Arabidopsis thaliana: one gene and its partners. The protein of the gene in region 2 interacts with the protein of the main gene of each other region in a pairwise test. Each region holds a gene or a part of one and is shown on either strand. Other genes may lie near its edges.

Region 1 (7,891 bases), on a different chromosome or scaffold from region 2:
AATTTAATTTTATAGATTATGCTGATTATCAGTTTGGGTTTTATTTCCAAGTTCACATGTTGAGAGAATACAAAAACAAAACAAAGCTAAAGGGATTATATATGGATTAGGTTGTGGATGTCAACTAGTTATTAAAATAATGTTAGATTAAGGGATAGATTAGGTAAAGGTAAGTAGCTGTTAATCATGTTAAATATTATTATTTTAGGTTGTGGTTCGTCTAAAAGGAATCTCCCTATGATTTACGAATCCGAAATAGAGAGAGGAGGATTTTCATGTTATTGTGGTGGAGGAGCTAGGGTCGTGTCAATGCTGCTTTTGGTTCATTGTTTAAGAACAATGATCATAACACGATAAGATTGATGAATGAAACGTTTCTATCTGATATACCACACAAATTTAACTAAGCATCACAAATCCGAATTAGAGCAGAGAAAATAATACAACATGTTGCTGGTTAGGTTGAAACATTGAATTTGCATCTCTTCTATAGTTGATACAAGATTGGATACATCTTCGTTACAAAGCGAATACTTGCTTACATTTAATTACGCCAAAAAATCTCTTCATTTTCATCTTTTACAGTTAATTAATAATGAAAAGATCTGTTCATCTTTATATATAGTGATCAATAACAAAAAAATTTGAATCCAATAAATATAATTGAACTCAGGTTCTGGGGGCAATCACAAGTCAGTCATGCGCCTTCACATTTTCCTGTAATGCCTGAATTCTTTAGCCATGGGCTGAAGCACGTGAGTCCTTTTCTCCATCAACTTTGTATCCTTCATAAACCTCTTGTTTGCACGTGCTCTAGATTCACGAGCCTCGTGTGCAACATGGTCTCTTCTCTCTTTCTCCAAACCATTCTCATCTTCCTTCTTCGTAGAAAGCTGAGAGAGAAGCACCACCATGAGATTTACCTCCATCAGAGAAGTTTTCTCGTCTTCTCTTTTCTCCTCCGCATCATGTTTACGATTGGCTTCGCGAGACGAATCCATAAACCCAAAAAGAAGACCCAAAAATGATACAATTATTGGGAGCTATTAGTCCCTAAATTAGCCCGTCTTTTGGACAAAATTTTTATCTTCTTCTTTTTTTTTTCTTGTGGTCATTCATAGTAACTAATTAAATCAATTTGCAATTTTTTGAGTGGTATTGGTATATTTTCCATCTTAAAGACTCGATGGTAGAGAAATAAGATTCCTAAATTCATTAGTCACAAGATCGACCAATTTTTATTTTTATTTTTCTTATCTCAAATGTTTCGTTTTGAGAACAACCAAACATTTAACCATTGATAAAATTGGCCAATGGCTAAAATGAATGCCTTTTCATTGTTTTTTTGACATCCTAAAATAAATGCTTAACTAATGGGTTTATGGAAAACAAAAGTTGTGTCCAAGTTATAAGCGAAGCAGCCCATAAAAGTATTAAAATGGGCTGAGCCCAATAACTGATAGGTGGAGTATATTAGTTTAAATTGTGTTTGTTGTACAAAGTTTCCCAAATGGGTTTCCAAAATGGGCTGAGCCCAAAAAGTGTTGTTATAGGTGAGGGTATATTAGTTTATTCGCAAAAAAAGCGTGGCTTAATAATCTCCACATCTTTCACGTGACCCCCCTCGAATGGCGAATAGATTAAGCGACGTCGACGTGTTTTAATCTCCTCCTCTTAACAAATATCCCTAAAGATTACTTCCCCCATGCAACACTCTTAATACCCACGCTTTTCCTCTTTATTTACCATCCTACCCCTATACTCACACATATCGTTTAACCAGAGAGGAAAAACCTGAGTGGCATAATCCGTAAATAAGACCAAAAAACAGGACCATCTCTAAAGCTGATGTCACTAATCAAAAGATTATGAACGTAATCTCGTGTCATAATCCTTTTGACCTCTTACTTAAACAAAACAAGTATAATAATTGGGCAGCCAAAATAAAAAATCTTTCTCTCTTTTTGCTATAAAGTAATGAAAAAATTAAATAAAATAATGTTCAAAAAATTGTCCGCCAGAATAAAGAAAATTTGATATGTGGCTTCAAAGCCTAAATTAATCATTAAAATAAAAAATCAGAAAATAAGGAATGAAGAACGAATTGTGCAAAAGTCTATAGAGAAAGAGAGATTCATTTGTGTTTCTTCGACTATACACAGAATACAAAAGAGATATTATATGTAATTATCAATAGTATATGACAAATTTATAGCCTCACCTTTCTTCTTCTTCTTCTTCTTCTTCTGTGTGTTTTTGAATTTGCTTTCTTCAAGAGGTTTCTTCTCCACACCGCTTCGGTGTATGATCTGATTGTGATCTCTCTCGATATCTGGGATCTTCGGGGTAAGCGATTTGATTTTTGTGTATTTCTCGTTTCTCGTAATCTTCATGATTGGTTTTAATAGTTTGCTGCGATTTTACATAATCTTCTTCTGTTTTGATTAGCTACTTTAGATTACAGCTAATGATACGTTTCGGGATTAGTGATTATTGTATGTTTAACTAGTTTTAGAATCTCTACATGCATGAATTTACTAGGTAGGGCTTCTTTCTTCTTCTTCTTCTTCTTCTTCTTCATTTTGTTGGTTTGATTCTGATTTGTTTTTGTATTGTATATGATTTAAGGTATGGAGGCTGTAGATTATTATTATTATTACGTGTGGTGCTGATGCAATGAGTGTTGATGCCTGTTATGGAAAGAGTAGCTGAAGAAACTGTGGCGACTAACAACATACAATTGAAAGCACGAGTGGATGATGTTCCTTGTAATAAGCTTGATGCTCGTCATAACGATATGGTGATTCAATCAGAAACTGCAAACAGTGATTGTCCTGGAAGCTCAGCTCACAGGAATGTTGATTTGACTAAGCCGCCGCCTCCTGAGGAAGCCGCAGGAGCTAAGCTTTCTGTTGAAGAGTTGACATTGGGGAACTACAGGATTGTTCAAGGGAGTAATAATACTAATGTGGATAGTCCTAGGGCTGGCAAGTTTGAGCATCTTTATCGTTTGGCTAGAGGGTCTGCTTTTAGGGCAGGAGATGGGGATCTTGATTCTCAACCTCGTGATATGGATCAAATGTTGTCCAGAATCAGACAACAGCTTGCTGGAGCTCCTTCTGAGAGGCAAAACTTGAAACCTTTTATGTCTAGGAGGAGCGATCAGAATCTTGAAGCTTTTTCTGAACGTCTAAGAGCAGCTGGTGAGAATAGTATTATGAATGCTCCTGCATTGATCAGTGAAGGTGTCCAAATGAAAACGCCGGTGAGTTCTTCGAATTTTTCTCAGTTGTTACTTAAAAGAGCTATGAAAGGGAAAGGGGTAGTAGGAAAGAACCAGGAAACTCCTCCTGAATTTGTCTCTGATCAAGATTTAGGAAGCAAGGAAAAAAAGTTGGATATTAGCAAGTCGCCTACTCCTCACGATGTGTTACCTCTAAAATCAAGTCCCAAAGGAAATGGTATGGTATCACATGGTGATGGGAATCATAGTAAATCTTCTATTGGAATCAGTTTGAGGGAGTTTCTTAGATCAAGTTATGCTAAAAGAGAAAAAAGACATGGCCTTTGTCTATTTAGGCAGCTGGTGGAACTGGTTGACTCAGCCCATTCAAAAAGATTATTCTTGCTAGACTTGAGACCATCCCTTTTCACTTTAGTTCCATCAAAGAAACTTAGATATATTGGTAATTTTGGAAAGAACGATCTAGAATCAGATGTTGACGAAGATTTGAATAGGAGGAGGCCTGTTGTTGAGGAATCATCTAGTGGAGGTAGGGATTCGAAGAAAAGAAAAATGGACTTGCATTTGAATTCTCCAGGGAATCAACTTCAGGCCACTTCAACCGGGCGACCTTTCAAAAGGAAAAGCCCTGTGATTGATTTAAACATGGTTGATGCACGTAATCCAGACAGTTGCGAGCTTCAACAGCAAGACTACATAAAAAATTTAAGCGTGTCTTCAGTGTCGAGAAAACAGTCTATGTCCACATGGCTAGAAGAGCAATGGTATACTTGTCCAGAGGAGATAAATGGAGAAGATATTGGAGAAAAATCAAATATTTATGCCCTTGGTGTTCTTCTGTTTGAGGTATGGACGAATACCCAGTTTTATTGTTGTGGATAGATTTTTAGTTTGCTTTAATACCAAGAAGGATGTAACATTTCCTTGCATTTGAACACTATGTACTGTCATATCCTGCTTATGTGGGCTTTGGGTAGTTTATATTCTTTCATTTTCATGAAATTTCTTACTCTAGTCTGAACTTTGAATCCCAGAGCTAGTATTTTCCAGTCTGCAGTATATAACTTGTCAGTATTTTTGTTTACTTGTTTGATACTTTCATGTGAAGACGCCTACTGACATCTAGCTTGACCAATTGTTGTTTCAGTTGCTATGCCATTGCGAGTCAGGCGAGATGCATGCTGCAATGATGGCAGATTTACGCCATCGGATTCTCCCACCAACATTTCTCTCGAAATACCCGAAGGAAGCTGGATTTTGTCTTTGGCTTCTACATCCTGAACCCTCCTCCCGACCATCAGCTAGGTATTTAGCTGAGTGCTACTCTTTTATGATTCATGTGGGCGAGTATTTACTAGGAGTCTAGGAGTGGTACAAAGGAGAATCTGTAGACCTTCCATTAGCTTAAATAGTCGTATTTAAGATTTCTTTGCCGGATATCTTCAATTTTATTTAATGTTTTCCCGCTTAATTGTGAAGAAAAAAAATGGCATGCTACTGTGTGAATTATCTTCTTGTTTCTTTTTCTGTTCTCATTCTTTTCTCTTTATGTGACAGAGATATACTAAAGTCAGAGTTGATATGCGAGGATGATTCAGTTAAATCGACTGCTGCTGCTGAGGAGATATCTGAGCTGTTACTTCATTTTTTGTCTTCATTAGAAGTGCAGAAGAAGAAAAAAGCATCTAAACTTTTGCAAGATATCCAGACCTTAGAGGATGATATTAAGGAGGCCGAGCGAAGATATTCTTCAAATGTATCTCTGGTGAGATCTCATGGAGCTATTGAAAAAAGGGTGCAATCATCTCCCCTAGACGAGCACTGTACAACTTCCAGTGCCTTGTTTGTACCAACTGCTAATACAGACAGGCTGATGAGTAATATCCGTCAACTTGAAGATGCATATTTTTTCATGCGATCACAAATCAACTTATCGAGTTCTGCTGCTACTGCCCGTTCTGACAAAACACTAAAGGACAGGGACAGATGCTCTGAAAACCAAAATGAAAATCAGGATATGAGTACCAAAGGAAAATCTTCAGATCAACTCGAAGTGTTTTTCGAGGGGTTGTGCAAATTTGCTCGGTATAGCAAGTTCGAAACCTGTGGGACAATAAGAAGTGGGGACCTTTTAAACTCTGCAAGTGTGGTCTGCTCGTTGAGTTTTGACCCTGATGAAGAACACATAGCAGCAGCTGGGATATCAAAGAAGATCAAGATTTTTGACTTCAATGCATTTATGAATGAATCTGTCGGTGTTCATTATCCACTAGTAGAGATGGTCAACAAATCTAAATTAAGCTGTGTTTGCTGGAATAGCTACATCAAAAACTACTTGGCCTCGACTGACTACGATGGTGTAGTTCAGGTACCTATCGATGTCAAGTTTGGAATCTTTCTTATTTACCATCATATGTTGCACGGTAGGATCTATAGGACTAGCCTCATGTGCTTTCTCTTCCTCTATGAGATGTGTACATGTTAATCTTGTGATAAGATAGAGATATAGAAGCGTCTATTTCATGGTTTTCACTTGCCATTTTCTTACTGTATGGTGCTAATGAATGTAGATATGGGATGCCGGCACTGGACAAGGATTTTCGCAGTACACAGAACACCAGAAGAGAGCCTGGTCAGTTGATTTTTCTCCATCTGACCCGACAAAATTTGTTAGTGGAAGTGATGACTGCTCGGTGAAGCTTTGGAGCATCAATGAGGCACTTCTCTTTCCTTTACCTCCTGATATTGCAAGAATTTTCATGTCCCCGTTGTTTTTATTACTCCAGATTATAGCTCCATAAGGCATGATTCTCTGTTTATACTTGTGAATTTCCAAATCTAGTGAAACTTATATTCTTCTCTGTTTGGTATGCAGAAACGTTCATTAGGCACAATCTGGAGTCCAGCAAATGTGTGTTGCGTGCAATTCTCTTCTTATTCCAATCACTTATTGGCATTTGGGTCAGCTGATTACAAGGTCTATTGCTATGACCTTCGGTATGTCAAAACACCTTGGTGCACATTGGCTGGTCATGAGAAAGCGGTGAGTTATGTTAAATTTATGGATTCAGAAACCATTGTTTCTGCTTCCACTGATAACTCTCTCAAGCTTTGGAATCTTAACAAGACAAATTCCTCTGGTTTATCTCCTGGTGCTTGTTCATTGACATATAAAGGACATACAAATCAGAAGGTTAGTCCCAAAAACTTTTCTATCTACCTTTAACATCTCATCCAACATCATTAGTTAGTTCTGATGTCTAATCCTTTACCTGTGCAGAATTTCGTTGGATTGTCGGTTTTGGACGGATACATAGCTTGTGGTTCAGAGACCAATGAGGTATATATCACATCATAAAACAAAATCTCAACCTTTAGAATACTTAATTTCAGATTATCAAAGGTGGTATATGTCAATCGCGTTTAGTTTGTTTATGAAGCTGCCTAAAATTAGTTGTTATAACTTACTAAAAAAACTTTACTTTGATTTTGCGTCTTAGGTATATAGTTACTATAAATCTTTACCGATGCCAATGACTTCATACAAGTTTGGATCCGTCGATCCCATTTCTGGAAACGAATACTTTGATGACAATGGACAGTTTGTGTCGAGCGTCTGTTGGAGGAAAAAATCGAATATGCTTGTAGCTGCAAACTCTACTGGAAACATGAAGCTACTAAAACTTGTTTGACAACTTGGCCTTTTCGCTACTACTGCGGGCATTGGACTTTTTGAGTCTGAAACTAGGACAAAGCAGGTCTGACTTTGAAGCAAACGTTTTTGTCCTGGAAACTATGATCCCATATGACCAGAAGAGAAAAAAAGTTCGAAATCTTGGAGAAGTTGAAGAAGCAAAACTGTCTGTGATAATATATTATTTGATTCTTCTTCCTGTAATTCTATATATATGAGATATAATTTGAGATAAACTTCTCAGATTCTTCAGAAATGATTCATATTTGGTCGGCATAACGTGTAATGATGAGAGGTATATAACTTGTACAAGTGTGTTATATCGTTAGCTCGGTTATGTAATTGTTGTTGGAGATTCTCTATAAGAGAGAAAATATATATATCATCCATTCATTTCATCGCATGGCTACTACCTCTCGTCTGCGTATTTCACAATTTATGGTTTTAGATTCAGTGTTGTTTTAGAAGAAATTCATAACAATTGCACATACGATGTTATTAGTGTGACCACCAACTTCAAGTCTCTAGGAAAACAAGTAGAATATGTCGTTGATGAAGGGCACATGGGTTAAATGTGGTTATTTTTTTCCTATTATCTATTACTATAAATCTCGAAATCATGAATTAGACATGTTCTTTGTATCTATGTCCAACATGTAATGGGTACATTGTATGTTTAAGAGTAAAACTAGGATAGGAAGATGTAATTGATTGCTTGGTGGCGTGGGTTTAGGCCTTTGAGCCAACATTTCTCTTTAGATTTGAACCCTCTGCTTTCGCGAGAGACTCTCTTTGTCTTGCGTTTTAAAAATCAAAACATTATCCTTCCTTCGAAGCAAAATCTTTAAGATTTTGGTGCTATGCCATCTCTTGCAAGTCATCTTTCACATCTGCCAGGTAAGTGTCTTTTGAGTATTCCAATTCTAACAAGTCCGGACAAACAAAAAACAAAA
Region 2 (3,663 bases):
ATATAGTAGTAACAACTAGTGGAGACCAAAAGAGGTCGACGATGTCGAGACAAAAAAGAATGTGAAAAAGTATAAAATAGAAATGAAAAAAGATTGGCAGATGAAAGGGAGTATCAAATTATTGTGGGAATTGAAGTCGCTTCTATCGGATAACTACACGACTAGGTATTGCTTATGCAAATAAGCTATCTATCACGGCACATGAGTAGCCCAAGATGTTTTACTTCAAGCAGGCTAAGCGATTTATACGCTACATTAAATGGACCACAAGCTTGGGGTTGTATTTCAAATCCAGAAATGAATTGGGCTGGAAGCATGGAAGATATTAGAAGCACAATGGCTATGTGTTTCATGCTTGGAAAATTTGTTCTCTTTGCAACCACGGAAGCAATCGATCATTGCATATTGACATGAAATGTGGATATCAAACATGCACGCTCTTCTTGTACATATATAATAGCTCACATACTCTCATTGTCAAATGTCTTTCAAGGATTTGTGTAAGCCATAGTATGTATACCCTCTTCATCAGCAATTTACTTATAAGTTTTTAAATAATTTGGTTGTGATACTTTTAGTGATTATCTTTGGTTCATGGAGGCTTCTTCGTCCACTGAGTTGAAGAAAGGTACATGGGATGGTGAAGAAGATAGTCTCTGAGGCAGTGCATTGATAAGTATGGAGAAGGCAAATGGCATCAAGTTCCTTTAAGAGCTGGTATATATACTATTGTTGTAAACTATTGAGTCACTTATATTGATTAGACACAAGTTTATATTCCTCACACACAAATCTAATTTATTTACATAATGTAATTATCCAATACAACTTGTTCCAATGCAAGCTTAGATGGTCACCGATTGCCGGTAGATTGCCTGGTCGGATCGCTAATAATGTCAAGAATTACCGGAACACCCATCTCAACAAGAAAGAAGAACCGTGTTGTAAGAGCAGAATGAGAAAGAGGGAAACTACATGTTCAGCTACGTCACCGATCCAAAGACTCAATGTTATAAAGCCTCGAACTCAATTCTATAACGGCCGGCTCAACGGGCAGCCAGAAGTTAGCTCTTTCAAAGTAAGCATTAACAAATATGGTGGTATCAGATTCACATGTAACAATGATAAGACGAAATATGAGTTTGTGAACATTATTTGCAAAATTTTCAGTAAAGAAAAATACTCCAAAAGTTTTTGTAAGAAGGTGCACCCTATTTTTTTTATTTTGTTCTATTTCTCGTGCATGAAATAACTCTTCCTTGTAATCATGAACCCTCTGAGACCAATCATTACTAGTCCTTTCTCCTAATTTTGATAAGAAACGTGTAATTTGTTTTTCTTAAGTACTGGAAAAGGTGCTATGAACTTTTTCTCTAGTCAAATCAAACAATAACTTAGTAAATTAAGCAGAACCGCAAATACATGAAATGTGGATATCAAACATGCACGTCATTTTCCTATGCCCTTCACGTGTATATATATACCTATTCGCTCACATGCTCACATTATCAATAAGTCCTCCCAGGATTTGGGAAGCCACAATAACCCCCTATTCCTCGGCCTTTTTTAAAAAAGTTTTAGAATAATCCGATAAAATACTTTTATATTAATTTTTCTTTGGTCCATGGAGGGTTCGTCCAAAGGGTTGAGGAAAGGTGCATGGACTGCTGAAGAAGATAGTCTCTTGAGGCTATGTATTGATAAGTATGGAGAAGGCAAATGGCATCAAGTTCCTTTGAGAGCTGGTATGTTACACACACAGATATATTCATGACTAAGAATATTCTCTTCTCTATATATAATATTCGGAAATCTTTATTTTACTTTTCTTTTTGTTTTAAGGAGCAAATTATTGATTCATATGCTAGTGTATGGTAAAACAAAAAAAAACAAAAAAAACAACTGGTTATTCAGAATAATTCTTTATGCAGTTTATTTAAACGAAGAGTTTTATATAAATAAAAAAGTTATACTATTTTTTATTTACGTAGCATATATATATATATATATATATATATATATATATATATAGCTTATTCTTCACAAACAAGGAAGATGCTAAGCTCATGTAAAGTTGTTAAACTATTTCACTGGGCTGTCTTCTGGTGAGTGAAGTCAGTGAAAATTTATGAACAAACGGTTACTGTGTTGAAACAGTTTAATCTTTCTATTGGTGTGCTTAGATTCTTCAAGATGAAACATAGAAAATGACCCAAAAGCCGTCTTGGTTGGTATAATTAATGTCAACTATTGGTTATGTAGGGCTAAATCGATGCAGAAAGAGTTGTAGACTAAGATGGTTGAACTATTTGAAGCCAAGTATCAAGAGAGGAAGACTTAGCAATGATGAAGTTGATCTTCTTCTTCGCCTTCATAAGCTTCTAGGAAATAGGTATTGTTTACTTTAATGGTTATTTCAAGAGCCATAAGTTCAACACTAATAACTTATATGTATATTATTTAACAATGTTTAGGTGGTCCTTGATTGCTGGTCGATTGCCTGGTCGGACCGCTAATGATGTCAAAAATTACTGGAACACCCATCTGAGTAAAAAACATGAGTCTTCGTGTTGTAAGTCTAAAATGAAAAAGAAAAACATTATTTCCCCTCCTACAACACCGGTCCAAAAAATCGGTGTTTTTAAGCCTCGACCTCGATCCTTCTCTGTTAACAATGGTTGCAGCCATCTCAATGGTCTGCCAGAAGTTGATTTAATTCCTTCATGCCTTGGACTCAAGAAAAATAATGTTTGTGAAAATAGTATCACATGTAACAAAGATGATGAGAAAGATGATTTTGTGAATAATCTAATGAATGGAGATAATATGTGGTTGGAGAATTTACTGGGGGAAAACCAAGAAGCTGATGCGATTGTTCCTGAAGCGACGACAGCTGAACATGGGGCCACTTTGGCGTTTGACGTTGAGCAACTTTGGAGTCTGTTTGATGGAGAGACTGTTGAACTTGATTAGTGTTTCTCACCGTTTGTTTAAGATTGTGGGTGGCTTTTCTTTCGTATTTTAGTAATGTATTTTTCTGTATGAAGTAAAGAATTTCAGCATTTTAAGAAAAATGGTTATGTTTCTACGTAATAAAAAAAAACGTTATTTATATTTTTCGCAAAGAAAATACAGTATTTTCCTAAATGCAGTATTTTCTAACTAAAGTTAAAGGTGATAATGTTTGTTAAAATATCACTCAACCTAACCATAGAAAATTCAAAAGCATAAGAAAGTTTTAACCATGAAAGATATGTCTTATGGCAAGTAGACATGGTGGAAGGTTGTATGGTAATGTGGTATTTCACAAGCATAAGAAAGTTATAATTAAGATCTGTTTGGTCTAACCGTTAAAATAATAGCTAGTTTAAGTACAGTAGTAAACATAATTATTTAATATTATCTTACAAAAATTATTTGATTGATACAATAATGGAAGCAAGTAGGGTTAGGAAAAATGGATACACTATTCGTTCTGCAACAAATAAATGACAATGTACTATTGTAGTACTTGTAATTGTTTCCCTCCCCCCCCCCCCCCACCACACACACACAGACACACACCACTCTCCTGAATTAATTAGAGTAGTTATATGAAATCATATATTAATTATTGATTATGTTTGCTCAAAACTGTTGACATTTCTACGTTTTTCATGCAAG
Region 3 (5,860 bases), 5.0 Mb from region 2:
TCTCTACACAGATCCAATCCCATTCAAATCTTCCAACAACACATCTTCTTCTGTTTACTCTTTCAAAACATCTTTCACTTTCTCCATCACTCCTCGACGGTCAAACCCTAACCCTGGTCATGGTATCGCCTTCATCGTGGTCCCAACCGTAGCCTACGAGTACGACCAAGACTCAACCCGCGGCTTCCTCGGTCTAGTTAACCTCACAACCAATGGCAATCCTAATAACCATCTCTTTGCGGTCGAATTCGATGTTTTCCAAGACAAACGTTTTGGTGATATTAATGATAATCATGTTGGTGTTAATATTAACTCTGTTAACTCAAAGGTTTCTGAGAAAGCTGGGTATTGGATTCAGACAAGAACTAGAGGGAAGAATCAATGGTTGTTTAAGGAAGTGAAGCTTAGTAGCGGAGACAACTACAAAGCTTGGATTGAGTATAAGAACAGTAAAGTCATTGTTTGGCTTGCACCTGCGCATTTAAAGAAACCGAAGAGGCCATTGATCGAAACACAAGTTGATCTCTCGGAGGTGGTTCTTGAGACTATGTATACCGGCTTTTCCGGTTCGATGGGTCGTGGCGTCGAGCGTCACGACATTTGGAGCTGGAGTTTTGAGAACACCGCCAAAAACAATTAGTTCTGATTTTGGTCTTGTTTGGTTTGATTTATGTTTGTTACCGGTTTAACAATTATGTATTTTCTCTTGATTTTTATTCAAAAGTGGTTAAAAAGAGAGTACGTATAAAATGTCAAAATCAAATTTAAAATTACTTTGATCGATTAAACCATTAAAAAAAATCCTGAGAAGAAAACATGCACACTGTCCCGGACCATCACCGTCAATGATCTTCTTGGACATGCATCATTGATTTTGTATAAATAAAGACTCGTTAAAAGCCAAAGCACAACCACGTGGTATTGTGGTCATCGTCCTCATCAAATTGAATCAGTTTGTTCATGTCACAAGTTTCTTAACATAAGTTTTTAAAAGATATTACTAAAATTTAAAACTAAAATATTGACAAATCCACGATATATAAGGTTAAAGCTATCACAGTTTCTAGGTCGTATCATTTTCTACAAAAATCTTGCATTACATTTCAGATGGTTTGGTTTCAATAAAAAAACAGAGTTTTTTTTTTTTTTTCATTGATAAATTTGTGTATGTAATCTAATCATAGAAAAAGAAAAAACACGTGGCGTGTCCGGACGCATGTGATTTTGTAATTTACCACTTACGTTGTCGACTTGTCTCAATCCATTCCATGGAAATGGAAACTCCCCTCTGGTTATTAAATGCTCCCACCAATACATTCTCTTTCCTTTCACCAAAACCAATAATACAAACAATTTTGTTTTTCTCATTCAAGATTTTCAAAGTACAATCATTTCTTTAGGTACTTTCTCTTGTAATAAGGCTTCAAATATGTTATTCAAAAATTATTTTGGTCATTTTAAATTCCTATTATAGCCTTACAAAAATGTGTTATATTATTTGGACCACAACATAATTTAAACATTCCTCTTGAAGAAAATTGGTCACTTCAAAAAAGAACAAAATTCACTTTGACCTCATGGTTTACTTATATTTACATATATGGCCCAAAACCAAAATACGAAAAAGGTTTTAGCTTTACGTTCTTTTGATTCCTAGGTCGTCGTTTAACCACGTTGCTTGCGTGGAAAGAGAAGAGAAGTGAAGATTATCAAAAAGCGAAAAATAAAACCCTCACTGTGAAGTAAAAATCGTAGGCCCAAAATAGATTTCTCTTAGCCGAGAATTTAATTTTTATGAATCTGATTATTGCTTTTCTACGAACTCAGTTTTTGCGATGTGTGGTTCTCAAAAAAGGATCGTTTCTTCGGTGCCTCTTAGTCTCTCAAGTACTTCTTCTTCTTCTTATCTTCTTCTTCGCTTTTCTTTTATATATAGAGAGAGTTTAGTGGTCAAGAAGCTTCCTCGTGTTTGTCTCTTTATGTAATCAAAGGTTGCATTTTTATTCGAATATATTTTCTGGTTTTGGTGTTTTCTGTCAAAGGGTCTTTTAAAAATCTTAACTTTCGTTCTAAATTTCTTTACTTTATTTCGATTCTAACTTAGGGCTTTTGGGCTGGGATCATGAAATGAAGTATTGCAGAATCCAGAGGAGTTTGTTTGGTAATCAATGAAGGGTTCTTCAGAATCTAGTTCCAGAGGATTAAACAACACCTCTGGTGTTTCAGAGTTTTGTACAGATGGTTCTAAGTCTTTGTCTCACATTGATTATGTCAGAAGCTTACTTGGTTCACATAAAGAAGCTAACTTGGGAGGACTTGATGATGACTCTATTGTCAGAGCTTTGGAATGTGAGGATGTTAGCTTGCGTCAGTGGTTAGACAATCCAGACCGATCCGTTGATGCCTTTGAGTGTTTTCATGTTTTCAGACAGATTGTTGAGATTGTTAATGCAGCTCACTCTCAAGGCATTGTTGTTCATAATGTTAGGCCTTCTTGTTTCGTTATGTCTTCGTTTAACAATGTTTCGTTTATCGAATCCGCTTCTTGTTCGGATTCCGGGTCTGATGAGGATGCAACAACAAAGTCTCGAGAGATTGGTAGCTCGAGACAAGAGGAGATTCTATCAGAGAGACGAAGCAAACAACAAGAGGAAGTAAAGAAGCAACCTTTCCCTATGAAACAGATATTAGCAATGGAGATGAGTTGGTATACAAGTCATGAAGAAGATAATGGTTCTCTGTGTAATTGTGCTTCTGATATTTACCGTCTTGGTGTTCTTCTCTTTGAGGTTTGTGCGTAAGAAGATTTGATTTTTGTTCTTAACTGCTTTGTTTTCTTGAGAAAACTGATTTGATGAATGTTAGTCTTTGTGCAGCTATTCTGCCCTGTCTCCTCAAGAGAAGAGAAGTCAAGAACTATGTCTAGTTTAAGACATCGTGTTCTTCCCCCTCAGATATTACTCAATTGGCCTAAAGAAGCTTCCTTTTGCTTGTGGTTACTGCATCCTGAGCCTAGCTGTCGACCATCGATGAGGTGATGATTGATTCTCTCTTTGATGTTTTTAGTTTCAATTGGAAAAGTTTTGTCCTTTAATTAAGAGTATTGTCTCCTTTGTCTTTACTTTTGCAGTGAGTTGCTACAAAGTGAGTTTATCAACGAACCTAGAGAGAATTTGGAAGAACGTGAAGCTGCAATGGAGCTACGGGATAGAATCGAGGAACAAGAGTTATTACTCGAGTTCTTGTTTCTGATTCAACAGAGGAAACAAGAAGCTGCAGACAAATTGCAGGATACAATATCGCTTCTCTCTTCTGATATCGATCAAGTCGTAAAGCGACAGTTGGTTTTACAGCAAAAAGGGAGAGATGTCCGTTCGTTCTTAGCCTCAAGAAAACGGATTAGACAAGGAGCTGAGACCACTGCAGCAGAGGAAGAAAATGATGATAATAGCATTGATGAGGAATCTAAGCTTGATGATACTCTAGAAAGTACACTTCTTGAAAGCTCTAGATTAATGAGAAATTTGAAGAAACTGGAATCAGTCTACTTTGCAACACGATACAGACAAATCAAGGCTGCTACTGCTGCTGAAAAACCGTTGGCTAGATATTATTCGGCATTGAGTTGTAACGGTAGAAGTTCAGAAAAGAGTTCAATGAGCCAACCATCAAAAGATCCTATCAATGATTCTAGACAAGGCGGGTGGATCGATCCATTCCTCGAGGGTTTGTGCAAGTATTTGTCTTTTAGTAAGCTAAGAGTGAAAGCAGATTTGAAGCAAGGAGACTTGTTGAACTCGTCTAACCTTGTTTGCGCAATTGGGTTTGATCGTGATGGAGAGTTTTTCGCCACGGCAGGCGTCAACAAAAAGATCAAGATATTCGAATGCGAGTCGATAATAAAAGATGGCCGGGACATTCATTACCCTGTTGTGGAACTTGCTAGCCGGTCTAAGCTTAGTGGTATATGTTGGAACAGTTACATTAAGAGCCAAGTCGCATCAAGTAACTTTGAAGGCGTGGTTCAAGTAAGTTCAGAAGAAAACTCTCAACCTTATTAATCAATGAAAAGTATGAAAAAAAATCTTATAACTAAGGCTAATATTTTCATAGGTTTGGGATGTTGCAAGAAACCAGTTGGTTACAGAGATGAAGGAGCATGAGAAGCGTGTATGGTCCATCGATTATTCATCAGCAGATCCAACATTGTTAGCTAGTGGTAGTGATGATGGTTCGGTTAAGCTCTGGAGTATCAATCAGGCAAACTTCGAAACTAAACCAAAACGTATTTATGCTCGGAAATGCGAGAATAGTTCTTTTGAGGGATGTGTTTTTAACGGTTGAGTTCGTTTTCCTCTGTTTCAGGGGGTTAGTATTGGAACCATCAAGACAAAGGCAAACATATGTTGTGTTCAGTTTCCATCAGAGACGGGTCGGTCTTTAGCATTTGGCTCAGCAGATCACAAAGTTTACTACTATGATCTAAGGAACCCCAAGCTTCCTCTTTGCACAATGATTGGTCACCACAAGACCGTGAGTTATGTTAGATTTGTAGATTCATCAACACTTGTTTCTTCTTCGACGGATAACACGCTGAAGCTATGGGACTTATCAATGTCTATTTCCGGTATTAATGAAACGCCTCTTCACTCATTCATGGGACACACTAATGTTAAGGTATATTTTTTTCGAGATTCGTTTCTATTGCTTCATTTCAAGTTTGCTTTATGAGATTACAAATACATTTCTGTTCTTGCATTGTGTGTAGAACTTTGTTGGATTATCAGTCTCTGACGGGTATATAGCAACAGGCTCTGAGACTAACGAGGTATGTCTACTCTCACTTCATAAATATACAAAAGAAGAACTGTTGATCCCATTTGTCAATAAAAACCGTGAATTTCGTGTGCTTCACTGGACAGGTTTTTGTGTACCACAAGGCATTTCCAATGCCGGTTTTGTCGTACAAGTTCAAAACTATAGACCCTGTGTCGGAACTCGAAGTAGACGATGCCTCGCAGTTCATATCCTCAGTCTGCTGGCGGGGACAGTCGTCGACCTTAGTTGCTGCAAACTCCACCGGCAATATCAAGATTTTGGAGATGGTATGAACCAATATAAAGTGGCTCAGAAGCAAAATGGTAATATTCCAGGGTTTGGATTGGTATAGGAAACAATTTTTGGGAGAGAAAGTAGGAAAAGTGAAAACAATATTGTTGCTACTAAAGAATTGTGTATATAGAAAAAATATATGATATCTTTCTATTTGTTGTATAGTACTTATTGTAAACCCTAATGACACAGGTGGGCAACTTAACATACAAGTAATAATTATTTACTTCAAAAGAATTATACAATCAAGCTGTGGTGTGTATAGAACTGCAAGATTCTCTCCAAGCTGCTTGATTCTTTATACACATTGATTCTTACCTAATTTAGCCTCTGTAACTAACCTATCTACAAGCTCCTTGAGCCTCACAGCCCCTGAGCTAGGCCTGATCCTAGCCACATCTTCGACAACCGAGCACTCTGGTTTCCCACCGCACCAACCGCCTGGAGTAAAACCGTCTTCGTTTATCCGTATAAGCAGTTCCTTATCAATCTTATCCAAAACAGTATCATTTCTTCTGAACTTCCGACCAAATGCAGATCCGCTCGAAATCATCTTTCCCATGTCTCTTTGAGACAACATACGAGGATGCTGCCTCGGTGGCTTGTCCCATGCGATGTAGTGAAGATCATGGTTCACCGCGGTTTTGGAGAACTCAGGCACGTTACATATGACTGTATGGAAGTAACCTTCAGGAGAAGAAACGAAATTGGTGTAGTACATGAGTAAAGTTCTTGGTAAATTGTCCCA

What was found.
Region 1: the proteins of MYB90 (region 2) and SPA1 interact in a two-hybrid assay, tested with the Arabidopsis thaliana proteins (one study listed by BioGRID).
Region 3: the proteins of MYB90 (region 2) and SPA4 interact in a two-hybrid assay, tested with the Arabidopsis thaliana proteins (one study listed by BioGRID).

What each region holds. Positions count from the first base shown.
Region 1 is NC_003071.7:19,021,617-19,029,507, reverse strand, and holds SPA1 (SPA (suppressor of phyA-105) protein family), read left to right. Parts: upstream 1-1,979; 5' UTR 1,980-2,346; exon of another isoform or gene 2,347-2,541; intron 2,542-2,628; 5' UTR 2,629-2,686; coding exon 2,687-4,090; intron 4,091-4,391; coding exon 4,392-4,549; intron 4,550-4,801; coding exon 4,802-5,612; intron 5,613-5,814; coding exon 5,815-5,961; intron 5,962-6,119; coding exon 6,120-6,437; intron 6,438-6,524; coding exon 6,525-6,584; intron 6,585-6,744; coding exon 6,745-6,936; 3' UTR 6,937-7,354; downstream 7,355-7,891. Other genes in the region: AT2G46360 (uncharacterized protein), read right to left, coding at 708-1,001. UniProt on the Arabidopsis thaliana protein: Controls normal photoperiodic flowering and regulates circadian rhythms. Required for suppression of photomorphogenesis in dark-grown seedlings and for normal elongation growth of adult plants.
Region 2 is NC_003070.9:24,762,428-24,766,090, forward strand, and holds MYB90 (myb domain protein 90), read left to right. Parts: upstream 1-1,513; 5' UTR 1,514-1,624; coding exon 1,625-1,745; intron 1,746-2,262; coding exon 2,263-2,392; intron 2,393-2,474; coding exon 2,475-2,973; 3' UTR 2,974-3,114; downstream 3,115-3,663. UniProt on the Arabidopsis thaliana protein: Transcription activator, when associated with BHLH12/MYC1, EGL3, or GL3. Promotes the synthesis of phenylpropanoid-derived compounds such as anthocyanins.
Region 3 is NC_003070.9:19,781,580-19,787,439, forward strand, and holds SPA4 (SPA1-related 4), read left to right. Parts: upstream 1-1,605; 5' UTR 1,606-1,991; exon of another isoform or gene 1,992-2,104; 5' UTR 2,105-2,168; coding exon 2,169-2,789; intron 2,790-2,865; exon of another isoform or gene 2,866-2,876; coding exon 2,877-3,034; intron 3,035-3,130; coding exon 3,131-4,028; intron 4,029-4,113; coding exon 4,114-4,260; coding exon of another isoform or gene 4,261-4,285; intron 4,286-4,365; coding exon 4,366-4,677; intron 4,678-4,768; coding exon 4,769-4,828; intron 4,829-4,922; coding exon 4,923-5,111; 3' UTR 5,112-5,323; downstream 5,324-5,860. Other genes in the region: AT1G53080 (Legume lectin family protein), read left to right, coding at 1-640; AT1G53100 (Core-2/I-branching beta-1,6-N-acetylglucosaminyltransferase family protein), read right to left, coding at 5,411-5,860. UniProt on the Arabidopsis thaliana protein: Repressor of photomorphogenesis in the light. Probably part of the COP1/SPA E3 ubiquitin-protein ligase complex.